2 linked regions of the Rhinolophus ferrumequinum genome follow. The protein of the gene in region 1 purifies or fractionates together with the protein of each later gene. This does not show direct contact. Links are inferred from orthologs where the notes say so. Each region holds a gene or a part of one and is shown on either strand. Other genes may lie near its edges.

Region 1 (10,818 bases):
TGATCTCTTGGTTGGAGAGTGGCAAGGTTCTAGAAGAGCATGAGGGATGGATGAGGTGTCATTGTGATCCTTTTTGAACAATACATTCTGTCACACCAACTAAGGGGGTAACCTGTGGAGTCAGATGCTTGGCTTAGTATCCCAGCTCTACCACTGATGGCTCTGAGTCTCAGTTTTTCTCATCTATAAAATGGGGCTGATAGTAACACTTACTTCATGTGATTGTTGTGAGGATTGAACAAGATAAGGACCCAAAGTGCAGAGTACCTGGCACATGGCTGGTGCTCAGTGGGTATCACTGTTGTTGGGACAGATCACGCTAAGCTCTGACTGGTGTGGTTCACCACAACAGGCTTACCTGTTTGTATGTGTGTCAGGAAGCCTAGAGGTGTGTTCAAAGATGTGTGTGCAGATGGATCCACACGCACGTGCCCACAGGAGCTGAATGAGTGTGTATGTCAGTATGAGTGGGTGTGTAGGTAGGAAATTGGGTGGAGGTCTGGCTGTGTACACGAGAGCATGTGCGGGACTATGGATGTGTGTGAGTGTGTGAGTCAGGAATACGAATGCCTAAGACCAAGTGTGAGTGTGTGTCCACAGAGGTGCACGATTAGTACTGGGCGTGGGTAGATTGAGCCATGAAGGTGTACGAGAGTGTGGGATATAGCCAAGCGTGTGTGTTAGTTTGTGTGTATGTGTGTGCATGAGTGTGTGTATTTTCCAGAAGGTGCCTGTCCATGCTTGATGCTTGAAAAAAATGAGAAAACGTAGAAACAAAGAACCCTTTCAGACCTTCCCAGGGATGTTTGAATCAAATGAACCCCTCGGGACTCTGACCAGCTGGAAAGACGAGGCGAGCCAGGTGGAGGGGCATGGAGAAAGACTTTTCTGAGATTAGTAATCACGCTTGGGCTGGGCGCCAAGGATCCTATTAGAGCCAACTGCTTCCCACACACAGTTGCCTCTTCAGCTTGATGACAGCTTAGCATCTGTGCCCTCCTCCTCCTCCTTATTCCCATTGCAATTAGTAGATAATTTGTTCATTCATTCAAATATTTATTGAGTACCTACTATGGGCCAGGCACTATGCTAGAGGCCAGGGATACAGCAGTGAAATATAGCCTCCACCTTGGAGGAGCTAATGTCCTAGTGGGGGACATTATACACATAAACACACATATCAGGAACAAATATAACGTCAGGTGGTAACGAGTGCCACGAAGAGAAATAAAAGGATGGGGTTGACGGGAGACGGGAGTTACTCTAGAGAGGACGTCAGAGAGGCTTCTCTGAGGGCAGAGAACATAGAATGTCTGGGGAAAACGTCTGCGGCGGAGGGAACAGCAAGCATGAAGACCTTTAGGTGAGAGTGTACCTGGCACATTCCAGGAATGACAAAGAGACCTTGAGGCTGCAGTGAAATGAAGTGGGGGCAAAAAGGAGGAAATGGGACCAGAAAGCCACCAGGAGTTGGAGGAGCATGAGCTTTTGCAGGCTTTGTTTCCTTTCCCTTCTCCACTACCCTTCTGAGCTCGTTTCCTGGGGCTGCTATAACAAATTACCGTGGACTGATGGTGGGAAACAACAGAAATGTAGTCTCTCACAGTTACGGAGACCAGAAGTCCAAAATCAAGGTGTCAACAGGGCCACACTCCCTCTCAAGGCTCTAGGGGAGAATCCTTCTTGCCTCTTCCAGCTCTTGGTGGCTCCAGGAGTTTACGGGTTTGTGGCTGCATCACTTTAATCTCTGCCTCTGTCTTCACATGGTCTTCTCCCTCTTTCCTCTTTTTGTCTCTTCTGAGGATACTGGTAATTGTGTTTTTAGGGCCCACCCAGATAAACTCATCTCAAGTTCCTTAATTGCGTCAAGACCTTTTTCCCATTAAGGTCACAATCACAGGTTCTGGAGTTAGGACATGGATGTATCTTTTGGGGGCCACCATTCCACACACTACACTTCATTTTTTCAGGATCTAAGGCAGAACCAAATGGGGCTTCTCTGGGTTTCAGTTTCTACCTTTGTAAAAAGGACAATAAAAAAGTCTCCTAGAGTTGTCAAGAGGGAAAGATGAAATCATGAATGTAAATTGCTTTCTCTAGTGCCCCTCATATAAGGGGTGCTCAATTTTGAATTGTTGTTATTTCAGGGCTGTCCCTATGATATTAGTCACTGTATCAAGTTTCTTGAGCTTCTTTTGAGTACAGAGCCTCTACTAGGCACCATGGGAGTGAAAAGGAAGGGGCAGGCCCAGCATCAGATCCCCCTCCTGTGGCTGCTGTGGTTGGCAAAGGGTACCTGCCACCCTCACCCTTGGTGACAGTTAATTTTATGTGTGACCTTGACAGGGCCACGAGGTACCCAGATTAAACTTTATTTCCGGGTGTGTCTGTGAGTGTGTTTCTGGGTGAGATTAGCATTTGAATCAGTGGACTCTGTAAAGCAGGTTGTCCTCCCCCTGTGCGTGTGCGTGGGCCTCATTCAATCCACTGAGGGCCTGAATAGAACAAAAGGCAGAGAAAGGGAGGATTCATTCTCTTCCCGACTGCTTGCTAGAGCTGGACATTGATCTTCTCCTGCCCTTGGCCTAAATGACACCACCAGTTTTTCTGGGTCTCCAGCTTGCAGGTGACAGATGCTGGGACTTCTTCGTCTCCGTAGTCACGTGAGCCAGTTCCTCAAAATAAGTGTCTCTCTCTTTTTCTCTCTCTCAACAAAGATGAATCTCAGATAACACGTTGCGTGAAAGAAGCCAAACATAAAAGAGCACATGCTGTGTAATTCCACTTGCATGAAGTTCGAAAACAGGCAAAACAAATTTATATGTATAGAAAGCAGAATAGCAGTTACTTTGGCTGGGAGGCTGGGGACTCTCGACTCGGAAGGGGCATGAAGGAGCCTTCGAGTGGTCTGGAAATAAGGCGGGTAGAGGTTACATGGGTTTAACAAATGTAAAAATGCATGAAGCTGGACACATAGGGCAAGTACATATGTTATATCTCGACCGAAACATTAATAAGTCTGTCAGTGCCAAGTATTGATGAGGATGAGGAGCGCCAGGACTTGTCATGCTTTGTTGACAGGGGAGGAGTAAATGTGTAAAATCACTTTGGGGAGCCATGAGGCCACAACTCGCAAAGTTGAAGTTGTGCATGCCCTTTGACTCCCTGATTCCATTCCCAAGTCTATACATGAGAGAAACTCACATATGTGCACAAGAAGACGTTTACAACACTATTCATTGCATCACTGTTTGTAAATGCAAAATATTAGAAGCAACCCAAAGGTCCATCAACAGGATAATAAGATGTGGTGTACTCATGTAATGTAACCATACGTTGTGGGGACAGAGTCCCAGAGGGCAGTTTCCAGGCTCGGCCTGGCGTGGGGAGGTGCTGGCTCTGGTAGTGAATGACCATCAACTGTGATTGGTTGGCCATCGGCTGTAACCGGTTAGCCAATTGGCTACTGATGTAACTGCGGGGCTGCATTGATTGGTTGGTTGGTTGGCAGGCAGAGAAGTGAATGGTGGACTGCGGATCCGGTGGCTACTACTGCCTGCGTCTCACCTGGCCGCCAGAGAGAATATAGTGGTATGACTCCCGATCTATGGCTCCGTGGGTGTTCCTTTTTGGCCTAGCCATATCCTGCGTTCTTATGTGGGGAACAGGACCAGAGGCCCCGCAGACCGCCCTGCAGGCTGCCCCGCAGGACATACGTACCAGGAGGGTTAGAGAGGAGAGGTAAGAGAATTATAGGTAGTAGATCTAGGAGGGCCTCCGAGATCAATTCCATGTTCTATTTTAGACACAATGAAACTGAGCCCCAGAGAGGTTGACTGATTTGCCTAAAGTCACACAGCAAATTAATGGACAAATCGGGTTAGGCCTAGCCTTTCTCCCAATCCAGGACTCATCTCTACGGATAGAAAAGGACATTAATTTTAATCCCTGCTTAGGAAGCTTCCTTGGGAGATACTGGCACAAACATGGGGAGGTAAGTGTAGCCATGTTTTGGGTGTCCTGTGATCAGCTCAGGGCCTGGTTGCCCCGTCACAAATCTCATGGCACCTTTACCAACTCTCTGAGACCCTCAGCAGATGTTGCCAGCAAAGGGACAGAGTGAAGACATTGGCACCAGGCTTTTCCACTAAGACTTTCAGCCCATTGGGATCTAAGCTCAATGCCTGCCTCCGCCCCACCCTCGCCCTGCCTCTAGCCACTCCCACGCTTAATCAGACCATCACCCCTTGCTGCTCCAGGTTTCCTGATCCCAGCCTCTCCCACATCGGTGGGATAGTTCCTCTGTGGTCTCTGAACCTCTTTTCTCATATACTTCTTGAACGTCTGAGAGTGTTTCCTTCATTCAGGGCCTCTGTACGAGAGTAAATGCGGGGCCCTGACTCGAGGGTGACTTCACTTAGAGGAAAGGAGCTTTGTAAAATTTGTCCCGGGAGATACCCTAATCTTCACAAAGGCTTTTCTGGTGGTCTCATATCCCCTCCTGAGCCCTTGGAAGCAGAGGCCCCTAGTTTCCTGACAACCCCGTGCATCCCAGAACCTTCTCCAGTCCCCAGTGCTCCTTGCATATTGTTGCTTATAGTGGGTGTTGATCATCCCTTTTGGACATCTAGCAACTGAACTCCTTTGCTATATTTGGGGAGAATCCCCTATGAGACAGAGCCCTCCTTCAATACTAGAAACTACAAATGCCACCTTTGCTGCTAGGGTAACGTCATGTGACCTAGGCTCCACTGATCAGACACTCATAGGTCCACAAAGACTCTATGTGGGGGCAGCCATGTCTGGACTGTTGGTGACACCAGTGTTCTGTTCATAGGGCTACTTCTGGCCTGTGCTACGGGGCACTAATCTTGACTAGGTAACCTCCAAGCCTGGTCCTTTATACATCCAGGAGATTCTGTATTATCCATTATCTTTTCATAAATAATTTTTCAGCTAAATTAGCCATAATTCTTTTTGTGGTTGCTCTTAACCCAAACTATCCTGATTGATACACTCTTCCTTTTCACATCAAAACCTCAGCTCTTTTGGGGTTCATGCTATTCAATTACATTCCCCTCTATCCTGCTTTGCTGTCTACCAATCTCCCCTTCATTCACTGAGGATTTTGCTCCCTGCCCCACACTCTCCCTCTCCCTCCTAAGTCCTGCCATCTCCCTGGGCAACTTCATTTTATATGAGGTTAACCCATCTTACACCTTGACAGCCTGATTCCTCATCCTCCTGATTGTCCATGGCCTTCACCTCCACTTCATATCAGCCACCTATTCCAATGGCCACATCCTAGACCTAGTCAGCCTGCTCATACTAGTAAGAATGTTGATTGCAAATACCATAAACCCCAACTAAAATGGGCTTAACAATAGAGGGATGCTATTATCTCATGTAACAAGAACCTAGCGATAGGGTGGCTCCAGGGCACATTAATTCAGTGGCAGCCCTGTGGCTTCATCAAGGACCTAAGTTCGTCCTTTCTCTCCATTCTGCTGTCCTCAGGTATTGGCTATCGTCAGACTGGCTCCCCATGCTCACAAGATGGCGACCACAGGCCCAAATATCACATCCTTATGACAATGTTCAGGGGCAGAAGAAAAGGACCTTCTCTTCCTTCTGTCCCTTTTTAGGATGAAAGGAAAACTTTGCTAGGTGTGCTCTCCCCCTCCCACTCCTAGCACTTGACATAAACTTCCCCAGTGACCAGAATTGTGTCACCTACTCATGCGTAAACTAAATGCTGGTGTATCAGCAAGAATTAGATTTAGGTGCATAGAATAGAAAAGAAAAAGTAAATGTGGCTTAAAAAAGAACTAAGTATATCGTTTACAAAGAGTTTGGAGGTAGACTGGAGGTAGGCTGTCTAGGACTGTTATGGCAGCTTCATGATATCATCAGAAACTCAGAAGCTCATCTTTCCACTCTACCATTCTCATCATAAAAGTGTGGCTTCCATCATTAAGGTCATCTCAAGAGGGCTGCTTGAATTTCAGTCATTGCATCATCTTTCTAGGCAGTAGAAAAGAAGAAGAAAGGTATGACACCACCGCCTCCCAAATATCACAGAAATCACCACAACACCTTACAGCTTACATTCCACTGGCCAGACTCAATCGTATGGCCACAGCCAGTTAAAAAGGATTCTGGAAAACATAGTCTTTTACTTTAAGAAGCGAGGTGCCTGGATAAATATTTATTGCCATAAAAGTTTCTTACCCAAACTTTTTTTCTTTGGGCTCCTAGGAAGCCAGGGGGGAAAGATTTCATGATTTGGAGTCAGACACATTTGGACTTGAATCCTTCATCTGGCTAAGTCAGTTGAACTGTCGGAACCTCTGTTTCCTCAACTGTAAAGTGGAGATAGTCAAAGTATTACTGAAGAATGCTCTTGGTTGCAAGCAGTAGAGAACTTGACCAATAGTAGGTAAGGAAACTTCTTTATCTTACAGGCAGTCACAACACAGGAAGCTGTTTGTGTTGTTTCACTGGTTTGATGATGTCACGGCCCGTGTCTCTGTGATTCTCTTGGCCTTTTCCTCATGTCGTGGCCTCATGGAATATGTTGTTCCAGGGATGACATTATGTTTGTGTTCCAGGCAGAAGAAGAAAGGTATAGGAATGAAGTGTCTCTTCTTTTCTCAGGAAAGCCAGCGTGTTCCCCGAAGTCTCTTCTGTCTCATTGACCAGAACTATATCATAGCTGCAAGTTAGCTAGAGAGGAATGTGTTGATGAACTCAGCCACTAACCAACAGTGTCTACATACACATCTACCTCTCAGGGTGATATGAGGATTAAAAGAACATAGTGCCACCAGAATAGCTAAACTTTAATAAAAGACTGATAATATCGAATGTTGATGAGGATGTGGAGCAATTAGAACTCTCATACGTTGCTGGTAAGAGAATAAATTGGTACAAGTCCTATGGAAAACTATTTGGCAATACATACTAAAGCTAAACATAAGCCTCCCTTATGATTCAGAAACACTCCTAGGCTCATATCCCCAAGAGCAGTGAATACATATGTCTACTAAAAGACATGTACATGAGTGTTCACAGCAGCCTTTTTCATTGAAAACAACCCAAATACTCATCAGCAGCAGAATAGAAAAATTGTGGCCTATTCATACAATGGAACACTACATGACAAAAAAGAGGAGGAAACAGAGGAGGAGAGGGAGAAGCTACTAATTCCTGCAACAACATGACTTGTCCAAAGTCACGCTGCAAAGGCAGGACTCAGTCCCAGATATGGTGACTCCAAATCGTGTGCTTCTTAGAGGAAGCAGGTGGGAGTGTAAATTAGAAAGGCCTTTTTGAGATATCACCTCACCCCAGACAGAATGGCTATCATCAACAAGACAAATAGTGACAAGTGTTGGAGAGGCTGTGGAGAAAAAGGAACCCTCATACACTGTTGGTGGGAATGCAGACTGGTGCAGCCGCTATGGAAGGCAGTGTGGAGGTTCCTCAAAAAATTACGAATAGAATTACCATATGACCCAGCAATCCCTGTCCTTGGTATCTACCAAAAAAATCTGAAAACATTTATACATAAAGACACGTGCACTCCAATGTTCATTGAAGCTTTGTTTACAGTGGCCAAAACATGGAAACAACCAAAATGTCCTTCGATAGATGAATGGATAAAGAAGTTGTGGTATATATACACAAAGGAATACTATTCGGCAGTAAGAAAAGATGATATAGGAACATTTGTGACAACATGGATGGATCTTGAGAGTATAATGCTAAACGATATAAGTCAGGCAGAAAAAGCAGAGAGCCATATGATTTCACTGATATGTGGTATATAAACCAAAAACAACAAAAGAACAAGACAAACAAATGAGAAACAAAACCTCATAGACACAGACAATAGTTTAGTGGTTACCAGAGGGTAAGGGGGGTGGGGGGTGGGAGACGAGGGTAAGCGGGATCAAATATATGGTGATGGAAGGAGAACGGATTCTGGGTGGTGAACACACAATGGGATTTATAGATGATATAATACAGAATTGTACACCTGAAATCTATGTAATTTTACTAACAATTATCACCCCAATAAATTTAAAAAAAAAATTGAAAAAAAAAAGCTTTTTGAGGGAGGTTTGGCAGTCTCACAATTGCAAATATAACGGCCTTGGACTCAGCAATTTCACCATCACAACCAACCCTAGGAAGGATACCCGTTCGGACATGAAGAGGCATGTGCAAGGATGTTCACTTCAGCATTGTTTGTAATGGGGGAAAATTAGAAACAACCTACATATCCACCAACAGGGTAATTAGTTAGACTATTCCCTTTAGGAAGGCACTGAGAAGTGCGGTGGTTAAAAGTGTGGCCTTTCCGTTCAAATCCTGCTTCATTCATTCGGTTAAAATATTTAACCTCTCCAGGCCTTACTTTCTTTATCCTTAAAATGGAAAGAATGCTAGTGGTCACAGACTGTTGGGTTGAAATGAGATATGCACATGAAGCACAACGGATGGGGCCTGGTACCTCGTGGGCATGTGGGCCTACGTATTTTCACAATATATACACTGTGGAAATACAGGGCAGCAGTTATAAAGAACTAGTAAATTTATATGTACTTGTATAGAAAAGAAATCTCCAATTTATAGGGTGGACGTACAAAAAGCTAGTTGCAGGACACATGATCCCCTTGGAAAGCAAAATGGTTGCTTTCTATATGTTTATGCCACAAATACATAAAAACAAGATCTGGCGTGATATGCACCGCATTTGTGACAGTGTTACCTCTGAGGCAAAGAAGGCATTTTGCTTTCTTACCCCTGGGCTCTGCCACTTACTAGCTATGTGATTTTAGGCAAGTTATATTGCCTCTCTGTGCCTCAGTTTGACTCGGGATATACTAGGTGCTACCCGATAAATGGTTGTAAGGATTAAATGAGTTAACACACATAAAATACTTAGAATAGTGCCTGTTACACAATGTAAGATAATGTTAGCTATTACTCGTGGAATTAAATTTCTTTTCATTCTTTGGTGCCCTTTCACTGTACTAAATAACCTCTCTGTCTTGGTCAGAAGTGGGGCACAGCCTCCCCCTCCAAATTACTTCAGAGACTTATGCAGAGGGGAAAAAAAGCTTGAAGGCCTGTATTGGAGACACAGGGGTAAGATGAGGACTGCAGGGGAAGGACACGCCTGGGTGGTGGGGGAAGGAGTGGGCTGGAGGAGGGTAGGGAGGGGTGCCATTGGGCCCAGGCTCCAAGAACAGGGCTTAATTACCATATTTCATAAAATTTAAGATCCACCATTGTAATAGGCACAGTTATTTTGTTTTATGTAATACTACATAATTTTTTAAATGCTGCAATTATTTATGACTTGTCATAAGCTGTCACGTGCATCCCAATTTCAAAGATATTAAAAGGCAGACAGATGTGCATTGTAGAATCATTAAAATATGGGTCCCTAGGGCCCTGAAAGGTTATAATGCCTTCACCCCAAGTTTTAGATATCCCATTGAACTATAAAATAAACGTAAGAGGATTTTCTCCCCATAATGATTACTTTGAAGTTTTTTTGGGGAAAATAGTAAATGTCAAATTCCCTAAACCATATCTCATCTCCTTTGTTCCCCTGCATGGGCTGAGTCAGTCTGTTGGGTGACCCAGGCCTGCCCTAGGGAGGAGGGAAGTCACACAACTGAGTTCTTTGAGCCTTTCCCCTGCTCCGAGGGCAGCAGCAGCTGGAAAGGGGCCCAGCTTTATGGGGGAACAATGGTACCAGCCAGCTGTGAGTAAAGCAGGGCTGACTAGCCTGGCCTGACCTAGCCTGGGTCCAAAGAAGTGACCCTTGCACCTAAGGGGTCCACTCCACTTGGGCAAAGGTTTGAGAGATCCAGGGAAACAGGAGAGGAAATCCCTTCAGCGTTCCTGGAGACTGTGACTAACTGTGCATGGAATCCCAGAATCTCTCAGCCAGAGGACCTTGGAGGCCCATGGAATCAATCAAACTACTCCATTGTACAGATAGGAAAATAAAGGCCTCAAAGGGTCTGGAACTTGCCCTAGGTCACACAGTAAGTCAGTGACAAACCTAGAGCCAGAATCCAGGTTCCCTTTGATTCACCAAGTCGACTATCAAGTGACGATTTGTGCAATCTTTTATAAACATGCCCAGTCATATTGCTTTGACAGTATCTGACACATCAGATAAACTGTCTGACCCCACTAATCACTGGAATGAGATGCACAGGATCTCACGTATGAATACCTTCAGGAAAGGGGGACCTGTGGGTACCTGCCTGCCTGTACTCCTTTAAGACAATATTTACTGTGACATAGTAACTGCCTGGGTTCAAAGCCCCCCTGTAATACTTCCCATATTTCTGACCTCAGATAAATTACTTTATCACTTGTGGTAACTAGCCTCCAAGATGGCCCTCAACGATTCTCACCTCCTGGTATTCATACCCTTGTGTAGCCAGTCCCCTCCTGTAATGATTAGGGCTGACCTGTGTAACCAGTCGAATATCGCAGAAATGCCAGTATGACCTCTGAGGCTAGGTCAGAAAAGACATTTCAGCTTCCTGTTTGCTATCTTGGATCACTTGTTCAGAGGGAAGTCAGCTGCCATGTTGTAAGGACACTCAAGCAGCCCAGTGGAGAAATCCATATGGCAAGTAACTGAGACCTTCTTGCCAACTGCTAACTCATCTGCCAGCCATGTGCATGGGCCACTTTGGAATTAGATCCTGCAGCCCTAGTCAAGCTTAAAGATGACGACAGCCCTGGTTGACATCTTGGCTGGAACCTCATGAGATGCCCCAG
Region 2 (10,972 bases), on another chromosome or scaffold:
TTTTTTCAATTACATTGTAAAACTGAGGTATATAAATAACAATGGGTTAATTTCTCCAATTGAAGAGTTCACTGCATATCTTGAATATGCAGGTAAATTAGGTATCAAATTGGTGGAGATTAGTTCTTTCATAAGTACTGAATTGCTAAAGATGAAAACTCAATATCTAAAATAAGAGAAAAATAAAGAAGTTTTTTGTCTGTTTTGCACAAGAACTTAAATGGTCAAATAAACAACTTAAGCAGCCAAAAGAACTTACGTGGCCTAAAGTGGAGACCATCAAAGAAACAGACGTACAGAACAAGGTACAAAGTGGTGAAAAGCAGAGTTTTATCTGTAAAGATTCAAGAATATAGGTATATGTTATATATTACATAAATTTGTATGTGGATGGGATGAAAGAAGAAATTAGTTCTCTAAATGCAGAATTGAGGAGGGAGGAAAAACATTCGGACATCTGAACAAGCAGATTCATGAAATGTAAATTGTTGATACACATTCTTAAAAAACAAGAAAAGTAGTCAGAAGAAAAAATCTTTCATTAGAAACACTGATGCCAGAGGAGAGGGAAATTACACGTGGGAAAAGCAGAGTATTAACAGAAAAAAAACACAAAACAGTAGTTCTGAAATACAGTTGGAGAAACAGCACCATACAAAATAAAGCAAAACATATATTTTTTAAAGACATTTAAAAGACTGTATTTGAGTGCATACATTTCTGAAAAAGACACTAAACAGCAACCTTTGGTTATCTTAGATAATGGACTCCTAGGGGCTTTCTCTATTTACTTTGAATGTATTTTAACTCCGATAATTATAATACAATTTGAAAAGTTTTTGAAGAAAAAGTATGCCAATACAGTGTGTTAAGTGCAATCCTATGGTAAGTGCAAAAATAGCCACTGAGTATATGCAAGCATAGAGTAAAGGAACCCACCGTGAATTGTGAAGTCTTCCTAGAGAAGGTGACAGGAGCTGAATGTAAATGAAATAGGGCATATCAATAATAAGTGTTTCTTGCCTCACTGATTTATAGTAAAGAAAGCAAGGACCAAGTGACAGTACACGTTGACAGCTCTGTGACCTGCCATTATTTCCCCAGTCTGGCCCAACTGGTTTCTTCCTTCCCGTTCCAGTCTGTCCGTGGCAAGTTATCTGCGTAGGTCTCCCCAACCACTCTGTGAGCTTCCAGCAGGCGCAAGGAACCAAGTTCAGATCTATGCCTGTGTTCTCACACCCAGAACTCTGCCTGACCCAGAGAAGCTAAATAAATATTGGTAGGATTATCTTGAATTAAAGAAAAGGAGGCATTTCAGTACATAATGCGAGTTTAATTAGCTTTTGGGGCCCTACAAGGAACAAATAACCAAATGGAGTCCAATCCGAAAAATTTAAAAAGCTACACGCCAGGTTACTAGGAGCGCTGTGGATGAGTCCCTATGAGAGTCAAGGAAGCGCCAAAGGGCTAAAAGAGAGAGACTCAATCCTTTTATACCGGGGGACAATGCCCCGACAGCCCCGGAGTTCAGGGTGACGTCAGCACAAGAAGAAGAGGAGTAAACAAGGTTCTAGGTCTACTCACGCCGGGGCAGCTGCCGGCTCTTCCAGCTGGATCTCCACCTGCAAAGGCGCCCCACCGATGCGGGATACGATCAGACCCACCACTCCGAAAAACCGGAGTTGGAAATTCTCCAAACAGGACAAGGAACTGAACGTAGCGTCAGAGGCTGGTTTGCAGGGAGGCGTCCCGAAGCCTCTTAGGGCAGAGTTCCAATACTAAAAGCCTCCTCCAGGGACGCGCTGCTCACCTGACACTTCAGGTTTGAGAACCCTCCGCCCGTACCTTAAAAACTTCATCAGTGCACACACTCTTGTGTCTTCGGTGAGTAAACGCCCTTGGACGGGCAAGGGAGCTACGTGTAGCTCCAGGAAATTCCCTGCAGCGGGCGGTAACTGAGTGGGCGCTGCTTGCCCCACTACCTCACAGAGCGAGTGCATGACCGGTGGGCGTCCTAGTAACAAAAACACCTTCGTTTTGTTTCCAGTACTTACCGCCACCGCTATTAATAAACAACAACACACTACCCGCGACTATCCTCCCAACGCCCCCAGTCGCACAAGACTCCCAAGGGGGCAGAAGACAAGGGGCACCCAGTTCCTGCAGACCTGCCGGTGGATCCACCTAAGAAAGCGGGTGAAAAGTAGGGAGTAAAGATAGTTAAAGGAAGTGCAAATGTCAGTTACAAACAAAATGTAAAACACAGTCGTTAGAAAAAGCCATTTTAATCAGGACCTCCAACCCAGAAGCTGTAAGTAAAACAAGGGTTAAAATAAAAAAACGTCTGTTGGCCACATTCAATATTCCCTTCCAAGCTCGAGTCTTTTGTTTTGTTTTGTTGGAGTTGAGCCAAGTTTTTTTTGCTCCTCCTCTCAACGAGACTTTTTTGGTAAGATTAGAGGAACCACAAATCGGAAAATACCAAAAGTTCTGTTCCTCTTATCTGAATCTCTTACCGGAAGGGCCCAAACTGACTTCACTATCCATCCGGGTTTGTCTGTGTTCAAATACTTCAAGTATGCTATCACCTTACTGGCACCACCTCTCGGTTGCGTAAACAAGTTTAAAATGTCAACAAATAAAAACATTCGCCAGACCTTCAACGTCCTTGAACTTCTTGTTGCCTTGAACCAAAAACTTGGTCTGAATTTCAATGCCCTTTGTTCTATTGCAATCCACTGTTAACATTTTAAAACCCCGTCACCATCCAGCAACATCTTGAAAACACTTTATATTTATTTCCTAGTCCTCTTGGAGGGGAAGAGAGGAGAGTCCGGAACAAGTATTGGGTTTTTTTAAGGCTTTCTATAAATGTATCAGTCAGTCATTCTGACTTTCCCACAGCAAGCTTTCCTTGCAACTTGCCAAAAAATACTATATTAAAATGCTTTGAGGCATATCCCGCCCTACCTACTTCACCAAGCGAGTGAAATGTCCCGCCCGGCGGCTGCCTCTGCCGGGTAAAGGCGAGCGTGCACACACATTGCGCAGGAAAAAGTCCTCTTTTTCATCAACTTTTTAAAAGGAAAACTGCCAAATGTTTTGAACAGTTCACCCCAGGAAGTAACTCTCAAGATGATCTTAAGCAAAGTTTACAGGATGCTCGCGACCTGCCACCGAAGCTTGTTTCTGCTAAGGGTTATTTGGACCGGTGGATCCGGGCGCACCGAGGACCGCACTTGGGATCCGGGCAGCCTCTGACAGCCCTCTTGGGAATCCCGGTGCAAGGAGAGCGGGGCAAGGAGGTGGGTGCGGGGGTGCGTGCGGGGACGGGGGCTCCGCCCCAGCGGGCGCTCGTGGGCAAACCATGTATAAGGAAGCTACTGAACTGAGTCACCTGTCAGAAGACCCACCCCCCCATCCCGGACCCTTGCCGGGGAGCCCCCGCCCAGGGCCAGTTCCCGGAAAGTGCAGGTCGGGGAGCTGCGGCGAGGGACGGGAGAGGCGGCGCTCAGGCCCTGCGGCGACACAGACACGGAAACCTGCAATGAGACCTCTAGGACTGAGGAGGGTCGGAGCGGCGGGATTAAGCGCCTACACGTACCGTCTGGTCCACCGTGGGGCTTTCTTCCTGCAGCGAGCTGCCAGGCTTCGCTGTCCCGGAAGCTTGAGAAACGCAGTAAAAGGTAGGAAAGGAAACCGAAAGCCTGGAAGCGGACGTTGCGCTTACCGACGTGGCCTTGCGCGTGCACTTATCTTCACAACGAAAGTTGGGCGGGCTGACTGCGTTAGGGCCAGAGACCCCTTACTTACCAGCCCCCAATGAGTCCCCTTCAGTTGAAACATTCTCCTAGCCACAGCCAACCCACTGTTTTATCTTTGTATCCTTTGTGATATAAAGATCATAAAATATGCTGTGAACCCAGAATGGTTGTTTAAAGGAGTTCTGATTGTCGTTACGAACAAACACTGTTAGTGTTTTTTACTGATGTATACGAATAATAATAAATAGCAAGTGTGAAAGCTATTTGTGTTTTCATCTATTTATTACTTTGTGATTTTTTTAAAATTTAACTTAACTTGAAATAAATGTAAACTTACAGGAAAGTTGCAAGACTACCAAGAGAGTATTGACCTTGGAGAAGGAACATACCCACCAAGAAGGACTCCTACTGGTTAACTGGGCTCAAATTCATAATCAGTCTAACAGCGAATGCTGGCAGAGAACACTCATGCACTGGTTTCAGAGAAAAACCAAAGGCTGAGCTGCCAGCTTCCTGTACTGTTCCTGTCTTTTGAGACTACCCTTATAAAATCATATTTGGACCAATGGGCTGATACCTGCGCCCTCCAATAGGAACACTACACAGCTATGTCCTCATTTACATCTATACTAACCGATCAGAGTGGTTTCATAACAACCAATCAGAACACACGACCAGTGCTATTTGGACCAGTCAGACTCCAAATTTGGATTCATTTGCACTGTCTCTTTAAAAGGCAGGCCTCCCCGTCCCAGGGGAGTGCATTTACCCTTCTTCTGAGCACTGCATCTGCACAGTTTGCAAACTGTTAACTTGAATAGTGTCCTTTTTCCGCCCTCCAGATTGGGAACTCCTGTTGGTATTAGATTGCTGGCAGCTAGCTTATATCGTATCATATCTGGTCTTACATTATAGTAAAATAAGACCAGGTCTTATATTAATTTTTGCTCCAAAAGACGCGTTAGAGCTGATGGTCCGGCTAGGTCTTATTTTCAGGGAAACACGGTAACATATCTTTCCACCTGTTGCTCCAAAGCCCTAGTTCAGTGATTGTGCCTGGGGGGAAAAGCACTCCATAAAACAGATAGGTCTTAAACTCTTCCCAAAGGAACTGACTTTATTTGCAACACAACATGTTGAAATTCAAGCCAAAGGTTATTCTCGAAAACCTGGAGTTTGTGATGATAAGCAATTGGGAGGAGTTTCAAGGTGTGGGTTAAATTGTAACCTAGCTAGTTTGCAATGGAGAGCTAGAGATAAAGACAGGGAAAGCCCTCCTGGAATAAGAACAAACATTAAACACCTCATAAACTATTGTTTCAAAGGGCCACAATTTGGTTGGATTCATTTGTAGAGCAAATTATGCCAGAACATTATCGAAAATAACAGAGCAATCAGGGAGCATTTGAGATCTTGCTCCCTGGCATATGTCATCAGTTTGGCTTAACTAAACTTTTATAAAAATTTTCTAAGAAAAAAAATAGTAGAGCAATCAGTCAGCAAATGTGGAGTCTTAACAGCTGGGTGTGGTCGGGAAATAAAAGGAAGAGAGCTCCACCCAAAAACCACTGTAATAACAGGATAACAATATCAGAAATTTAACAGGAGTGGGGATAGACTTCACTAAAGTAATTTAGCAAATAAACAAGCAAAAAACAACAAAGTGAGGCTTGGGGAATGGGAGGAAACAAGTACCTAGAGTTGCTACAATATATTATCTAAAATGTTCAGTATTCAACAAAAAGTTACAAGGCATGCAAGTAAACAGGAAACCCATACACTGGAAAAATAGCAGGCAACAGAAACTGCTTGTGAGAGCAACCGGATGTTGGACTTATCAGAAAAAGAATTCATAGTAGTTGTTATAAACATGTTCACAGAACTAAAGAAAAGCATGATTAAAGAAGAAACAGAAGGTCTGATAACGTCACATCAAATAGAGAATATCAATAAAAAATATTAAGAACCTAGAGCAGGCATGTGACTGAGAAATTATAAAAATGAACCAAATAGAAATTCTCGAGTTGAAAAGTACAATAACTGAAATAAATTCATTAGGAACTCATCAATAGACTTGAAATGGCAGGAGAAAAATAAGCTAACTTTAAGATAGAGATTATGCAGGCCAAAGAACAGAGAAAAATGAAGAAAGCCTCAGAGAAATGTGGGACACCATGAAGCACACCAACATGTACATAATGAGAGTGTCAGAAGGAGAAGAGCATGAAAATGCAGCAGAAAAAATATTCAAAGACATAATGGCTAAAAACTTCTAAAATTTATTGAAAAACAGTAAATTACACATCCAAGAAGTTTCACAAATTCCAAATAAACTAAATGCAAAGAGATCTACAGACACATTATAGTAAAAATGCTGAAAGTCAAAGACAAGGAAGAAATCTTAAAAGCAGCAAGAGAAAAACAACTTATTACTTTAAGTGAATAGCAATAAGATTAATAGCTGACTTCTCAGCAAAATCAATATAGAGGTCAGAAAGCAATGAGATAACATATTCAAAGTGCTCGAAGAAAAAAAAAATTTTCAACCAAGCAAAACAAATTTATGAAAATAAGATTTGTGAAATACTTTCCCAAATAAACAAAAACTGAAATAATTTGTGCTAATATAGCTACCTTGTAAGAAATACTAAAGGAAATTCTTCAAGCTGAAAGCAAATAACCCCAGACAATAAATCAAATGCTCACCAAAAAAAAGGGCAACAGAAAAGGTAATTCTACAATTACAAGACAGTATAAATGAATATTTTTCTCTTATTCTTAACTGATTTAAAAAGCAATTGTATAAAATGATATAATATATTTTTGTGCCTATAACATATAGAAATTAATATATGTGAAATATATTTCCCAACACAAAACAGGTGGGTGGGAGCAAAGTTAAATGACTATAGCTGGCAAAGTAATAATTACAACAATCTATTGTTCGGTGTGTAACATGCATTAATGTAATATATATACAAAATACCACAAATGGGGGGAAAAGGGAATAGAGCCATCTAGGAGTAATATTTCCTTGTACTACTGGAACTGGCTAGTATAAATCTGAAGTTGCTTCTGATAAGTTAAGATGTATATGGTAAACCCTAGAGCAATTATTAAAATAATAACTCAAAAATATATAGTAAAAAATATTAAAGAAATTAAGATGATACCTTAGAAAATATTCGCTTAATGTAAAAGAAAACTTTTAATGTAGAGAAAAACACATAAGACATATAGAAAAATGTAAAATGGCACATGCAAGTCCAACTATATCAACAATCTTAAATGAAAATGAGCTAAATAATCCAATGAAAAGGGAAACTTGTTCGACTGGATTTAAAAAAAACAAAAACCTATGATCCAATTATAACTGCCTACAGGAGACACTTTCAATTCAGAGATACAAAGGGATTGAAAATAAAAATATGCAAAAAGATATAACATGCAAACAGCAACAACAAGAGAGATGGAGTGGCCATATTGATATCAGGCAGCATAGAATTTAAAACAAAAAATATTACTAGAGGTACAGAGGGACATCTTATTACAATAAAAGTGTCGATCCATCAGATAAATATAATCATTATAAACATACAAGAATTTAATAACAAAACATCAAAATACATGAAGCAAAGCTGGGAGAAATAAAGGGGAAATTATTTTCACAATAATAGCTGGAAACTTAGACACTCCATTTTCAATAATGGATAGAACAACTAAACAATCCACAAAGAAACAGAATGCTTGAGCAACACTATAAAACAACTAGACCTAACTCACAGCTGTAGAATGCTCCACACAACAGAATATACATTATCAATTATACATGAATATACACAGTGAAGTGCACAATGGAACATTCTCCAAGATAGACCAACTGGTAGGCCATAAAACAAACCTCAATAAATTTAAAGGGATAAAAACAATGTAAAGTATGTTCTCTGACTACAACAGAATTAAATAGAAGTCAATAACAGGAAAGATTGGTAAAACTCACAAATATGTGGAAATAAAACAACACACTCCTAAGTAACCACTGTGTCAAAGAAGTCATAAGAAAAACCTGAAAATACTTTGAGATGAATGAAAATCAAGTGCAACATACCAAAACTTATGGGGTGCAACTAGAGCACTGCGTAGAAAGAAATTTATAACTATAAATGCCTCTACTAAGCAAAAAGAAGAATCTCAAATTGATAACCTAATCTTCCACCTTAAGTAAGACACTAGAAAAAGAACAAACTAAACTTAAAGCAAGCAGAAGGAAAGAAATAATAAAGATTTAAAGTAGAAATTAATAAAATATAGAATAGAAAAACAATAGGGAAAGTCAATTAAACCTAAAGCCAATTTTTTTGAAAAGGTGAACAAAATTGACAAATCTTTAGCTAGATTGACCAAGGAGGAGAAAAAGACTCAAATTACTGAATCAGAAATGAAAGAGGGGATATTACTACTGATCCTACAGAATAAAAAGGCTTATAAAGGAACACTATGAATAATTGTACACCAACAATTTAAATAACCTAGATGAAATGGACCAATCCCTAGAGAGACACTAACTACCAAAACTGACTCAAGAATAAATAGACAATACGAACGATCTATGAAAAGTGAAAAGATTGCATAAGTTATTGAAAATCTACCCAAAAATAAAGCCCAGACCTAGACAGATTAACTTGTGAATTCTACAAAACATTTAAGGAAAATTAAATCTAATTCTTCATAAACTCTTCCAAATAACAGAAGAGGAGTGTATTAGTTTGCTAGGGTTGCCATAACAAAATACCATAGACTAGGTAGCTTAAACAACAGAAACTTATTTCTCACAGTTGTGGAGGCTAGAAGTCCAAAATCAAGATGTTGGCAAGTTTGGTTTCTTCTGAGGCCTCTTTCCTTGGCTTGCAAATGACAGCCTTCTGTGTCTTCTCATGTTCTTTCCTCTGTATACACACTTCTTTAGTGTCTTTCTATCTGTTCAAATATTCTCTTCTTGTAGGGATACCAATCAGATTGTATTAAAGCCCATCCTAATCGCCTCATTTTAACTTCATCACCCCTTTTTCTTATCTCTGAATATAGTAACATTCTGAGGTACTGGGAGTTAGGGCTTCAACATATGAATTGGGGGGTAAAGGTGGTGGACAAAATTCAGCCCAGAAAAAGGAGGGAACACTTTCCAACTCAGCTTATGAGGCCTTATTACCATGATACCAAGACCAGACAAAGATATCACTGCCAAAGAAAACCACGAACCAATATGTCATGTATATAGATGCAAAAGTTCTCAACAAAATACTTTAAACGTTTTACCACTTATGTATGCATCTCTAAGCAGTATAGCTTAGTTTTTGGCTGTTTTTGCATTGTTTATGAATGAAAACAAACCTTATTCTTTTTGTTTTCCTTTTTCCATAAATGGAATATTGCTTAACAGTAAAAGAGAACTAACTATTGATTCATGCAATAACATGGAAAATTATGCCTGATATGCTTGCTAAAGTGTTTAGGGAACATACACTGATGTCTTTCAAATACATCAGAAAATAAGATGGATAAATAAGATGTGTTAAAGCAAGTGTAGTAAATTGAATGGTATAATCTAGTGGTAGGTATGTGGGTGTTCACTGTAAAATTCTTTCAGTTTTGCTTTATAATTGAACATTTTTATAACAAAAGATTGGGAAAGAAAACATTGTGCTGATTGAAAGAATTCAGACACACAAAAAGTACATATTGTATGTACTTTACACAAAACTTTAGAACAGACAAAACAAATCTGTAGCGACAGAGGGTACATCAGTGGTGGCCCGCAAGGAGAAATGTTAATTATCAAGGGGCATGAGGAAAATTTTGGAGTGATGGAAATATTCTATGTATTGATTAGATGGTAGTTACATAGGAGGATGCATTTCTCAAAAATTACTGAACTGAGGGCGGCCTGGTGGCTCAGTTGGTTAGAGTGCAATGCTCATTATTAATACCAAGGTCACTGGCGATTCCCACATGGGCCAGTGAGCTGTGCCCTCCACAACTAGGTTGAAAAACAACGACTTGACTTGGAGCTGATGGGTCCTGGAAAAACACACTGTTTCCCAATTAAAAAAAAAAAAAGTTACTGAATTGTACACCTAAAATGAGTTATTTATTTATGTAAATTACACAATGATAAAGTTGATTTTAAATCAAACAGGCAAATAAAAGTAGATGGGAAGCTCTGAGTTCCTAAGTGGGTCTAATCCATTCTAAGCATCTCAGTGGACAATCTAGCTGAGCTATTTCTTTGGGGAAACTTCCTCGTCAGTATTTTCAAAATGTTTCTTTTAAATTGGTCAGATGTAGCAGAGATGATTCTTCTAATCTCCTGCTTGCAGAGAAAAGTCCTGGTTGCTAGAGCTCCCAAAGGGGAGTGGAAAAAGATTGATGAGGTTTCCTAATCCAATAGGCATACGTCATTCTAGTCGGACACTCTTGACCTGCCCCCTTATTGAAGCACTTTCTTCCTTTGCTTCTAGGACCCAGCTCTCTCCAGATTTACCTCCCATATCTATGATCATTTTTTTTCTTAGTTCCTTTATTAAACTCTTGTTTTGGTTTGTTTGCCCCTTTAAGCATTAATTCTGTCCTTGACCTTTATCTTTTTGTCAATCAGGATTTAATTATCTTTTCTTTTAGTGATTATACATCTCTACTGTTTTTCAATAGTTTCCATGTCCATCTGATTTCTCCCATGGTCTGTTGGAGTTCTGTCTATCTGTTGTCTGTCTTCATGAAGCTTAAAGTAATTTGTTGAGTACAAAGTGTGACAGAGAGAGACAGTCAAGTTCAGAGGTGAGAAAAATCATCAGAGCTCAAAGGCCACCAGCTGGTTCAGCAATGTCCCAGGTCTGAAAAGAGATGCTGACACAAATGGAGACCAAACCTAGGTACAGATGTGGCATTTCTGGGTCCTTCATTGTAGTGTTGATACTTACTTGTGATATTGCTGTTTCTTACTTGTGATGACCTACTTCCATGCTGTTGCTTCACAGCAAGGAGCCCTTTCCCAACACAAAGGAAATGCTTGGGCCCTCTGGTTTTCCTTTCTTTATGATTGAACATTTTATAATAAAATGTTGAGGAAGAAAATATTGTGCTAAGTGAAAGAAGTCAGACACCAAAGAGTATAATCTGCTTCAGTACCTAACATTAAAATTAGAGAATGG

The links.
Region 2: the proteins of ITCH (region 1) and CFLAR purify together in Homo sapiens (affinity purification with western blotting; 8 studies listed by BioGRID). This does not show direct contact. The link is inferred for Rhinolophus ferrumequinum from reciprocal best matches to the Homo sapiens genes ITCH and CFLAR.

What each region holds. Positions count from the first base shown.
Region 1 is NC_046306.1:20,842,085-20,852,902, reverse strand, and holds the start of ITCH (E3 ubiquitin-protein ligase Itchy homolog), read left to right. Parts: upstream 1-6,277; 5' UTR 6,278-6,439; intron 6,440-6,514; exon of another isoform or gene 6,515-6,625; intron 6,626-10,818. UniProt on the Homo sapiens protein: Acts as an Acts as an E3 ubiquitin-protein ligase which accepts ubiquitin from an E2 ubiquitin-conjugating enzyme in the form of a thioester and then directly transfers the ubiquitin to targeted substrates.
Region 2 is NC_046291.1:30,188,411-30,199,382, forward strand, and holds the start of CFLAR (CASP8 and FADD-like apoptosis regulator), read right to left. Parts: upstream 4,023-10,972; 5' UTR 3,605-4,022; intron 2,631-3,604; exon of another isoform or gene 2,048-2,630; intron 1,885-2,047; exon of another isoform or gene 1,813-1,884; intron 1,738-1,812; exon of another isoform or gene 1,585-1,737; intron 978-1,584; 5' UTR 940-977; intron 1-939. UniProt on the Homo sapiens protein: Apoptosis regulator protein which may function as a crucial link between cell survival and cell death pathways in mammalian cells. Acts as an inhibitor of TNFRSF6 mediated apoptosis.